Linked DNA regions of Rattus norvegicus. The protein of the gene in region 1 interacts with the protein of each later gene in a pairwise test. Links are inferred from orthologs where the notes say so. Each region holds a gene or a part of one and is shown on either strand. Other genes may lie near its edges.

Region 1 (6,284 bases):
AGGAAAGAGGTGGAAGTGGGGAGCTGGCTATGTTTCACAGGTTCCTGACGTGTGGTCAGTGGAGACACCGTGTTTAGATATGCCGCCAAAGCTCCTCAAGTTACCTAACATCTATCTTACATCTTTGGGTAGAATTACTCTTCCCTAAGCTTTACCAGAAATACTTCAGGATTAGATACCAGCACTCCCACTGTGTGTATCAGGCTATGGAACTTTGATATTGGCAAGGAAACCATACTTGTAGCCTCTTCCTCTAGATTTTTCAGGCAGTTATAAGAAAATAAATAAAATATGAAGGGCATATTAGGTAATTTGGCTGATTACAGATTTTTTTAAAAAACAGAATATTTTAGATACGGACCAGGTTTGAGGGTAGCACAGTAGATTTGAGCGTGTAGTTGAGACCAGAGTTGATCTGCCGTAAGTCTATGCTTCACTGTTATTTTGTCTCCCGTGTTTTACTCTGCTTGTTCTCTTCATCACTCTTCTATAAACTGCTTTTGAATTATTGTATGTGTATGGGTGTTTTGCCTGTACATGTACCATGGGTGTCTTGTGGCCGTGAAAGGCAAGAAGAGGTTTTGGATCCCCTGGGATTGGATTAACAGACAGGTGTGACCTACCTTGTGGGTGCTGGGAATTGAACTTGGGTCTTCTGGCAGAGCAGCCAGTGATTTTAAGTGCTGAGCTATTTCTTCAGCCTTACAAGCCGCTTTTTAAAATCGAATCTAGATTTTCTTTCTTTATGTATCTGTGTCTGGTGTGCATTATAGGTGTGTGTATGTTATTATGTGGGGGATGCACATCTGTGTGAGTGCACATGTGTGCACATGCATGTGAAGGTCCAAGGGTGATGTCAGTAGTCTTCTTCACTTGCTTTGCCACTGTATCCTTAAAGTGGGGTCACACTCAAGCCTAGAGCTTGCAACCAGGGGCAGTCTAGCTAGTCAGCATGCTCTAGGAATCAGTCTATGCTTTCAGGCCACCAGGACAACGAACTATTATTGTGCTCGGAGTTTCCAAACTTGGCAAAACTCGTACTTGCCAGACAGGTGCAATGGTTGTGGAGCCATCTCCCCAGCCCTGGTAGCAGTTGTTCCATGCTTTCTTCCTTTTAGCTCTAATGGGCCTCTTCATTCAGGTTCCCGGGTGAGAGCCTTCATACATCTTCTCACTGCTCACCTGTGCTTATGTATGTCTTATGTCTGTGGGTGCATACACAGATGTTCTTCTGTATATGTGAATGCATGTGGAGGTTGTAAGTTGACATACAGTGTCTTCTTCAGTTGCTTTCCACCTTAGTTTTGAGACAGGATCTCTAATGTAACCTGAAACTCATCTTTTGACAAGACTGACTGGCCAGCAATCCCAGGGATCCTCCTATCTCTGCCTATCCAGCCCCAAGCACTTCAGCATCTGAACTGTCTTCCCTGTGTTGGTTTTAGAAAGGCAGGCCAAGTTTGAAAGCCTACCTAAGCAAATGCCAGGGAATAAATATGTAAAATGCTTAAGAGCAAAACTTTTTAGCATCCTAGTTAAACTGGGGGATATTCTTTTAAGCACTTGTTTTATGATTGAGGGCTGTCTGATTGGGGTGCCTTAGGATCTGCAGCCCGCTGTTTAGATTATGTTTGTAAGTTGGAGTCAAGATTACCAAATGGAAAAATTAGAATGAAGTCAAAAAGGAATGGAAAGACAACAAAAAAATACCTTCTCTTTTCTTCATCACATGGACTTCACCCTAGAAAGACTAATAATTTACCTTTCCAGGCGCCTAGCCCAGAGTATAAAGCGTAGGGGCCAGAGATGCGCGACTTGATAAGAAAACTTGCTGATTGGTGCTGCTTAGTCTCTGTCAGCTTGACACAAACTAGAGTTACATGGGAAGAGGGGTCAACTAAGGAATTGCCTGTCAGGCTGACCTGGAAACATGGCTGTAGGCCAGTGTTTTATTAATGATTACAGTGGGAAAACCCAGCCTACTGTGGGCAGTGACACTCTGGGTAGGTGGTCCTGGGTTGTATAAGAAAGCAGGGCAGAGCAAGCCAGTAAGTAATGCTCCTCCATCAATTCCTGCCTCCATCAGGAGCTCACAATACCTACTCCAGCTCCTGAATGTTTGGTGCCGTCTTCTGGCTTCTGCAAGGACATAACAGATGTATACATATACATACATTTTAAAAATAATACAAATATTTTAAAAGCATTTCACATATGTAGAGGTAATCATATCAATTATGATAAGTTGGCTGGAAGCCATTGTATTTCCCTTTCAACTTAAAACTTTGACATGTGGACTGAAAATTGATTTGAACACATTCTTAAATTGTTTTTATTATTATGAATGTTAATGACTTCATATTTCTAATAGAAACAATAATTATAATATATTTGGTAGAGTAAATGCTATAAAACATTGTCCCCAGTCTGTTCTCTTAGCATATAGACAGCTATTTAAGTCTTGCTATTAGCCACATTTCTCTAAGTAAAATGAAATCCTGACACACACATACACACACACACACACACACACACACACACACACACACACACACCCAATGGAACCCTCACAGAAGACAGAGTCTGACTGTGGTTGCATCTCTGTGGTGCTTAGACTATGGGTATACACTAAAAGCATTACCTTCTCCTGATCCCCACCACTAGCTGATGTGTTTATTCAGCTAGCTGAGCCAGCTCTGGCAGAAATAGCCCCACAGGATGATTCATGCTGTATACTTGTGTACCAGAGTCTCACTCCCATCAGGGATGGGGTGAAAAATGGAGGTTAGAGTTCAAGAAGAGCAGTGTCAGAGCCAGAGGCAAGTCCTTTGCTTGCTAATCTGAACCTGGAAGCTGTGTCTTTAAACCTTTGTATGTCTCTTCATAGACCCTTTCTGGAGATTTCTGAAAGGTGATCGATCCTTAGGCTCTGCTCATCTATTAGTCTGCCTGAATTTGAATTTTTGTCTGTTGCACGCCTGTCTTCGTATTAATCAATCCTCTAATGGCCTTGGAAGCAGGATGTCCTGCCAACTATGGGTATAGGCAGAACACCAAATGAGATGGAAGAGATGATTAAATATTAAACTCTTGGCTATCAAGGTGGCTCAGCAGGTAAAGGTACTTATCACCAAATCTGAGTTTGATCCCAGGGACTCGTGTTGAAAGAGGATGTGGAATCAAGTTGCCCTCCTACCTCCACACTACTGTACCATAATTCTCACAAGCAAAACACACATAAAATTAAGTTAATCAGTTGATTTTTTTTTTTTTTAAAGAATGATGATCCCAGCAGTTTTTTTCTGAGTGGGGGACAGTGAGAGAACATGCCAAAAGACCTGTGTTCTTACCTTGAAAGTCATTTTATGATAAAGATTTATTCACTCACTCCTTTCTCTTCTGTTGCTTGCTCTAGGGTAACCAGGAGCCAACAACAACTCCTGACGCAATGGTTCAGCCTTTTACTACCATCCCATTCCCACCACCTCCACAGAACGGAATTCCCACAGAATATGGAGTGCCACACACTCAGGACTATGCCGGCCAGACCAGTGAACATAACCTGACACTCTACGGGAGTTCACAGCCCCATGGAGAACAGAGTAGCAATTCACCCAGCAACCAGAATGGATCTCTCACGGTATGTGAAGTCGGAGACGCAAGGTGAAATGTTCACCTTCTCAGAAGACAGACAGAAAGCCTTGAGTTAGTTTAGCCTTGCTATGCGTTGCCCAGCGTGCATGTGCTGACTGTTCTTTCCTAAGCTGCACAGTGCAGAGTTTGAACTAAGCCTCACCACTGCTGCCTGGAAGCAACCTTCCTGCACCCTCCATTGTATGAATCCGCACCCAGCCTCATCTGCACAGTCTCACAGGCTGCCTCACACAGCCTCCTCCTTGCTCCTTGGCGCTCTAGGCCATTTAAATGACTTGTACTTCCCTCCTGGTTTTCCTACTCAGCAACGGGTGTTGTGATGCTTCCTTCTCCTCTTGTTCAAATTTCAGATGTGGCAGCGTTCTGAGTGCCTTCTCTGCATCCTTACCCCACCAACTCACTCTTTACTTAAGCCAAAGCCAGGTGTCACCGATCCTCACTCTTCATGTCTACCCTCAGTCATGAAGGACGTTAGCAAGCGCAGTTCCACAGTGGTGCAAAGTACAGTAGTGCTCAGTTCTCCCCGGCGGAGGGCAGAGGGCGGAGGGCGGAGGGCGGAGGGCGGAGCTCTTCTGCTAGCCGCTTGGGGTTGATTCAGCTGACTAGAGATTAAATCACAGCCTGGCCTCAGAAGAATGAGTTTAGGCAAGTTATTTAATGTTCCTTTGCCTTGAAATAGAAGAAAAGGAAGGTCATAATGCCTACCTCAAAAGCTGTCAAGAACATTCTCATGAACTTGGTGGCACAGGCTTGTATCTTTGCAACCCAGGAGTCTGAGGCAGGTGGGTTGCCATAATTTAAGGTGTACTGGAGCTACAAAGAGAATTCAAAGCCAGCCATGATTCATTAACAAGATCCTGTCTGAAACTTACAAGTATAAAGGGTGCTGGACATGCACACTGCACTCTCAAGCTGCCACTGCCTCTGTTTTCTCAAGCACAGTATTTATATTGATTATTTGGGAATTTCATATAATGACCCTGATTACTCACTTCCCAGTCCTCCCAGTCCACACCCCTGCCACAGAACCCATCGGTGATGGAGAGCTGCCCTTCAGCATCCTTATCACAGCTTCTAAGAATTTTCTTAATTTCCAGTCTAGGCTTCATAGCAGCCACAATGGTGTGTGTGTGTGTGTGTGTGTGTGTGTGTGTGTGTGTGTGTGTGTGTGTGTGTGATCTTTTGTGTTTTCTCGTCTATGCTATGGGTGTTTCTGCCACCTCTTTAATAATCTAGTACAGTTAGAAAAACATCCAAGCTCTGCACTTGGTTTTCTAGTCTCCAGCTGCCCACCTCTGACTTTACCCTTACCACTTGACAAAGGGAAGAAAGTGTCCCAAGCAAACAAGATACACACCTACCTTACCATAGCTGCAGTCGCCGCATGGTCTGTGGGGTGGGGTTCCAAGTGAAATGCACGCTTGTCGGCATCGAGCTGCTGTCCTGTTTAGATGGCACCAGATTAGCACAGGGCACCTTATTCAGACTTCAAGCATCTGGAAAAGACTCACTTCTAGAAACTAAACTTCTCCCTTGTATCATATGCACAGAGCCTGCAAAGGCTTTCACTTAATTTTCAGACAATTAGACACCTCCATGGGAAAAACAAAAACCATATTTACTTGAAAACATGCCATCTTTCCTATGATGGCTACTTCTGTGTAGACACATAATTTTATACCCATAAGTAACGTGCAATAATGGACAGTTGGTTTGAAGGAAGAGTCTGGATCTGAGAGTTAACAAGAGGCTTCTTGTAGCATTTGTTTGGGTGTGGGCTGTACAAGCTGCTCTGTCAGCTGTGTTCGTGCCTTTCAGATGACAGTGAGCTCACAAGCTCACTAGAACAACTGCTTCTACCAAAGGACTAGAAAGCGGAAAAATCTATCCCAGTCTTATTGATATTTTAGCACCCACTCCAGTTGTAGGATAGTCAATGGTCTTTGTTATTGCTGTTTCTTCATTTCTGCTTTTGTTGTTTTGTCTTTTATCCTTTGGGGGACAGTTTCAGTCTTTTGTGTGTCTTTTTGGGAAACTATTTTCTCTGAGTCAATTTTCACAAGTAGAAAATTACTAGAGTTGATTTTCACTAATACAAAATTACTGGGCATATAAATCAGCTTATGAGTACGTGCCTTACATACATGAAGCCATGGGTTTCATTCCTCAGAACTGCATAAATCCGGACATGATGGTGCATATCTATAACCCAAGCCCTCAGAGGTGGAAGGAAGCTCACAAGTTTAAGGTCATTCCTGGGAGCCAAGGGAATTCCAGGCTAGCCTTGTTCATAATACATGATCTCAAAACATAATCATAACAATATATGATTCCTTTTTATTTTTCAGAGATCATAATAACCCCTTATATTTTAAGACAAAGAAGTGAGGTACATCCTAATGGATGGGAATAGTGGCTCTTGTCTCTCCCTCACAGGTGCTGAGACTACAGGAGTGTGCCACTGTCCCCCAGCTCCTTCACACACAGTCATACATGCATACATTTTTTTCCTTGAGACAGGATTTCTCTGTGTAGCCTTAGCTTCCTTGGAACTTGCTATGTAAACCAAACTGGCCCTAAGAACTCACAGAGGTCCACCTGCCTCTGCTTCCTAAATGCATGTACCATTA
Region 2 (5,604 bases), on another chromosome or scaffold:
TAGGTAATAGCCCTGGCCCAACAAGCCTGAAGACCAGAGTTTGATCTTAGGAACCAATCTACAGGGATGAAAGGTGGAGATGGAATGGTTGAAAGCTCAAGGGCCAGCTAGGCACAGTGCAGAAATCTGCCTCAACAAGGTAGAGAGCCAGAACTTGAGTTGTTCTTTTATCTCCACTTACCATGGCACATGTGTGCCTGCACTCACATGCAAACAGCAAAAACAAAAACAAAAAAACCAAATAGTCAACACTTGGGAGGTAGAAGTAGAAAGATCAAGAGTTCAAAATCAGGCCAGAGTTTGAAGTTAGCACTGGCTGGGAACCCTTGTGGGCCTTCAAGTAACTAGAAGGCAATCTTTCAAGTGTAAAGCCAGTCTTAAGTATGCTAGCAGAAATTTAAATTCTTAAAGACCAGTTTTTCCTTCAGTGCTAGGAATGAACACGAGGCCTTACATAAGCCAGTCTCCAGCAGATACATGCCCAGCACAACATGCAGTATTTTTACCTCTGTCTTATAAAATGTCCACTGTGCTGAAACAGGTTTTGATGCTTAAATGCTGTGATATACAATTACTAAGCTCCTTGGTTTCTTAACAAGAGTTAACTATAGGCAATGAATGGATGACCAGGGCTATTTGAATAGATTTAGACAGGAAGTCAGATTAGCTTTACACTAACCAACTCCTCTCTGCTACTGGACTTTCCTGATATGAGACCTGAGTTTGTCCAGCCTCTACTACACAGGTTGGGTCATAGGCAGTCCCTCATTCCTATGTAAATCCAGTCAGCACACCACCAATCTAGTGCACCCTGAGCAGTTTAAGTGGTCTGAGTCCACCAAGAGATCTTGAGTTCAGTAGCTGGTGGAACCATTTCAAAGTGCAACCTTCCGCAAGTGGGACCTAGCTTTAACTGGTATATTGGAGAAGTTTATACCTTCCTTACTGTCCCACCCTTCCCTTCACCTTTTCCCACTTCCTGTGTGCCAGGGTCTCTTTCTACCACTAGCCACAATAGTTCGTCCTAGCTCTGGGGTGAAGCAATCAGTGAAAATTCTGAAAATGTGGACCAAGTCTTTATTAGTACTGAAGCCTGAGGGAATGGTATTAGGGTTCACACTTTGGACACTTGCTGAGTTGAAGAAACTGTCAGGAGGCACAGGTACTTGTTGCCAAGTTCAGTCCTTTGAACACATCCAGAACAACCTTCTGCACCTTATTAATAACTGCCATGCATAAGCTCCAAGTAGAAACATACAGGAGCTACAGTTGGCTCCATATTTAATAGCACTTCTCAAAAAGAAACATCCACATGGATGCAATGCCCACTCGATCAGAAAAGTAAAGTATGAGACCCCTCATGACTCAAGTAGGGTTCCCAGTAACCATGGCACTCCAGTTACTGGCGAACCCAATGCCCTCTTCTGGTCACCATCTAGAGACACAAAGCTGTACACACAGCATCCTTCTATACATGCAAGAAAAAAAATGCGCAGTTTTTCAATAGTTTACAGTGTACTATATATAAGAAAAGGACTGAGCTTCCTTGTCTATGGTGGACTGTTTGTGGTCAATGTCTGGAACAAGGCATATACCACTTATTTTAAAAGCCATAAATGCCGGGCCTAGAACTATGGAGACCAAGATGACCACCTTGAGCTCATGTCATCTTCAGCTTCCCAATCTTCCTGAGACACCACCCAGCTACCACTACTTTCAAGTCCCCTTTGGAAGATGACGTTAACAAGTCTTTCTCTTCCACCCAGGTTGCTACCTTTTGCTGAGTAGATAAGCTGTGCCAGTCATTGTGAAAAAGTCTTTATTTTAAGAAAAAAATTTAGTTAACAAAAAATTTAACAAGTTTCACTTAGCAAAATACACCCAAAAGGAAATCACAGTACAAAGAAAGCTTTAAGTCAAGGCCTCACCAATTCCTACAGTATTAGTATTGTGTCTCAATTCTCAAAACTAACTTTTAAAAAGCTTAAACTTAACCTAAAGATTTTAAATGAAAATATAAACTAGAATGAACATGAGAAATGCTTCTCTTTGCATCAGGGATCTAGCACCTTGAGTTCTCCAGAAAAGTACATGCCCCCAGTGTGTTCACTGTGGTGTGCTGAAAGATCCACTCAACATACTTAAACTACTTAACTCAGATAACATCACTCTTAAGTATACTACCAAAAATGTTAATTGAGAAAAGCGGAAGAAAATAGTTTTTAGTTTACTCAATATTACATGCTAGAAGAAAAGTTTGCATGAGAAACACTGAAGAGGTAATTTTTTAATCCAGATTTCACAAACTCATGGTGCAAAGTGGGTCCCCCAGCTTCCTCTAGAGTTATAAACTGCTCTTGACTGTTTATTGGCTGCCTGTGAAATTTTCTGATTGAAATAACCCAAATGTTCCTACAATACTAATCATATCCACCCATGCTGTTCTGACCGCTGTAGCCGGCCCCGTAACAGCCACTCACTGACTGGCTCTCCAGGCCACTGTAAGTTGCCTGGGCAGCTGACACACCCATGCCCTGCATCACCTGGCTGCTATAAGCCCCATTGCTAGCTCCTGTTGTTGAATTCAGGAAGAGTTCTATGTATCTGTGCTGCATGTTGGCCCTGTCCTTGGACATAGCTGCCACTGCTTCTTCATGAGTAGCAAACTCAACATCAGCTTCTCCGGTCACTCTTCCATCAGGACCAATCTCAATATGAACTCTCACAGGGTTGAGTGGAGAGAAGAAGTTGTAAATGTCGTTCTCCGTTGCTTTGTAGGGCAGCCCTCTCATGTGGACGCAGTGGCCGGTGGTGCTCTGCACTGTGAACTCGCTGTCTCCGTATCTGTGATCATACATTCCTGAGAGACAATAGCTGAGGTCTCTCCCAAACAGGTCAGTGGTGAAGCCATAGCCATCACTGAGGCCACTGTATTCTTCATAGCCCCCATAGCCTGCACTATAGGCACCAGACCTCATCCTATCCAGGCCTGCCTGTTTCACAATGCCAATGTACCTCCGGGCTGTGCCAGGCCTGTCATAAGGCCCAGGCCTCTGCACAGACATAAACTTCAGAGGTGGATCTGAGTATGACCTAACTTCCTCCTGACTGCTCTTGAACACTTCAATATACCTGTGCCCTATTCTCTCCTTGTGCTTCCCTAAAGCTTTCTCGGCTAACTCTTGTGAGGCAAACTGAACGAAGGCCTCCCCTGTAATCTTGCCTTCCGGGTCCACAGGTAGTGTGATCCCGTTTGGCACAATTTCCAACCCTGAGAAGAACTGAACGATTTCTTCCTTTGTGCATCCAAACGGGAGTCCCCGAAGCCTCACAAAGCCATCATTGGCACTGTCGGCGCTGTTTGGACCACTGTGCTTCAACACCCAATCCATCTCGGTTCTGTGTGACTTGAACACCTCAATATACCGGTGTCCCATGCTTTCCCTGTCTTTTTTCAGAGCCAATTTTACATCATCTTCTGACTCAAGTTCAACAAAAGCCTCACCACTCTGCCTGCCTTCTCTAGTATAAATGAAATGAACACCTGCGACCCCATCATGAATTGTGCAGTCGGAGAGGAAGTTTTGTACGTCCTCAATTGAGCAGGACCAGGGTAGGCCACGGAGTTTGACCACATAGCCTTCACCTCCCTCAGGGCCCAGCATCATGGACACTTGACAGGGTTGATGTCACACAAGCTTGGGCAATTTTTTGTAGCTGAAAGAAAGAAAAAAAGCCTACTTTATACAATATTCATTTAATGCACAGTAAAAATATTCATTAAATTGTTTCCCATTTCACAGACAGAAAATGAGTAAAAATAAAACATTACAAATGTGCTAGTTATAGTCATACTCCTTTTTTCAGACAGGTACTGTTTTCTGTGAGTTCCAAGCCAGTCTAGTTTACAAATGAGATTCCCCCTCTAAAGGAGGCAGCTAGCAGCAAAGCTCCACTCTTAAGTGGACCTGATTGGCCTGAACTCCCCCCCCCATCTTTAAAAAGTAAACTCCCAAGGTGGACTTCCACACCAGGCCTAAATCACAACAAACAAAATCCCAGACAGTCAAAAAAGCCACCTGGTGGCCTTTTAAAGAAATGTAGTGCTAAAGCAAAAAGACAGAAAAAGACCAGGCAGGGTGGGTTATAGTTCTGTGGCAAAGCCCTTGCCTAATATAGGCCAGGTTTGACTCAGCATCAAAACGAAGACCTATTACCACAAAAGGCCAAAATAATCAAGACCTTTAAAGCATGGATATTTGACAGGTATGGGGGGGGGGGGACGACTAGGTAAATAGTTCCAGCTCTCTTCAACAAATTAGAGGCTTACATGGGACTCTCTCAAAAATTAAACTAGGGGATAGCAAGACAAGAAGAGTGGGTAAATAAGATCCCTTGTCACCAAATCTCAATCCCCAAGTTTCTTTGACCCCCCTAAGGCCCATAGTGGAGAGCTTTAATTCTTCCCCTGTCCTCCACAAGCACACTCACTATACTTATAAATAAAAACAAAAAAAAAAACAAAAAAAAAACCACATTTAAAAAAATGTAAGAGCCAGGCTCGGAGGGTGGTAGCACACACCTTTAGTCCAGTACTCAGGAAATAAAGAGGCAAGTATATAACTAGTCCCAGGCCAGGCAGAGCTATAGAGCCATACCCTGTGTCTCAAAACATTTAAGACTAGACAGACAGCATGAGCCAGGGAAGGCAGTACACACTTGTAACCAACACGTAAAATTCCAGGATGTGGAGTTCATGGTCTGTTCTGGCTACCTAATTAAACCAACAGGAACCTCAGACTTTATTTTTAAAGTTTAGGAAAAACTTTACTCTTAAATATGTAAGAGTATTTGAAAAGGAAACATGCTATCATTTTAACCCTAATCTGCTCTACTGACAAAACTACTTACCTGTGTCCCAACAACAGTGTAATGGCTCTAATGGCACTAAACTGGCTTGTGAATATTTTACATTAAAAAAAAATCTGCATTGCCTGTGGCCTGAAGATAAAAATATAGTGCAAGCTCTAAGAGATGAGTGGGGAATAGCCTGTAGTCTTTAATATGCGTTTTAATATGCGTAACTATATAGAAACAAACATGTAAATTGAACTGTAAGTTGCAGGCACTTGGAAGTTGCCCAATTCTAAGCTTTTTTTTACCTGAAGTCCACTACAGCAAAAATAACTAATCTCATGTGGTGTTGCTATAAAAAAGTTCTAGTACTTCTCCTTGCTCACTAAGAATCAGAGCACATGTGTGCCTGCTGGAGTAATGGGCTGATGATTATGTTGCCAGTGTCAGATAGGGGTATGTACAGCTCCATTTTCAAGTCTGTCCTGTCATCAGAGATCCCATTTTTGGTCACACTTTTATGGAAAAATGGGTTCTGGTTCCAGATTTTAGAAGCAACCACCTGTTGGGAGATCTAAACATCTATTTGCTGTTGAACTCCCTAGACATTGCTACCAATAGTTTACAAATATCTAGGTAAAAAAAATCTCACTGTGCAAACCCTAAGTGTATCCTGTTTTTCTAACAGCCTTTGTCCTTCAGCCTTTTCCTCCCTCTTCATTCCATATAACCCACCTCAAACTTTCTATC

Evidence for each region.
Region 2: the proteins of Rbfox2 (region 1) and Hnrnpf interact in binary tests that used the Homo sapiens proteins (3 or more experiments, as listed by UniProt). The link is inferred for Rattus norvegicus from reciprocal best matches to the Homo sapiens genes RBFOX2 and HNRNPF.

Annotation. Positions count from the first base shown.
Region 1 is NC_086025.1:110,744,708-110,750,991, reverse strand, and holds part of Rbfox2 (RNA binding protein fox-1 homolog 2), read left to right. Parts: intron 1-3,415; coding exon 3,416-3,640; intron 3,641-6,284. UniProt on the Homo sapiens protein: RNA-binding protein that regulates alternative splicing events by binding to 5'-UGCAUGU-3' elements. Prevents binding of U2AF2 to the 3'-splice site.
Region 2 is NC_086022.1:152,773,066-152,778,669, reverse strand, and holds the end of Hnrnpf (heterogeneous nuclear ribonucleoprotein F), read right to left. Parts: exon of another isoform or gene 3,718-5,604; 5' UTR 3,669-3,717; coding exon 2,421-3,668; 3' UTR 1,803-2,420; downstream 1-1,802.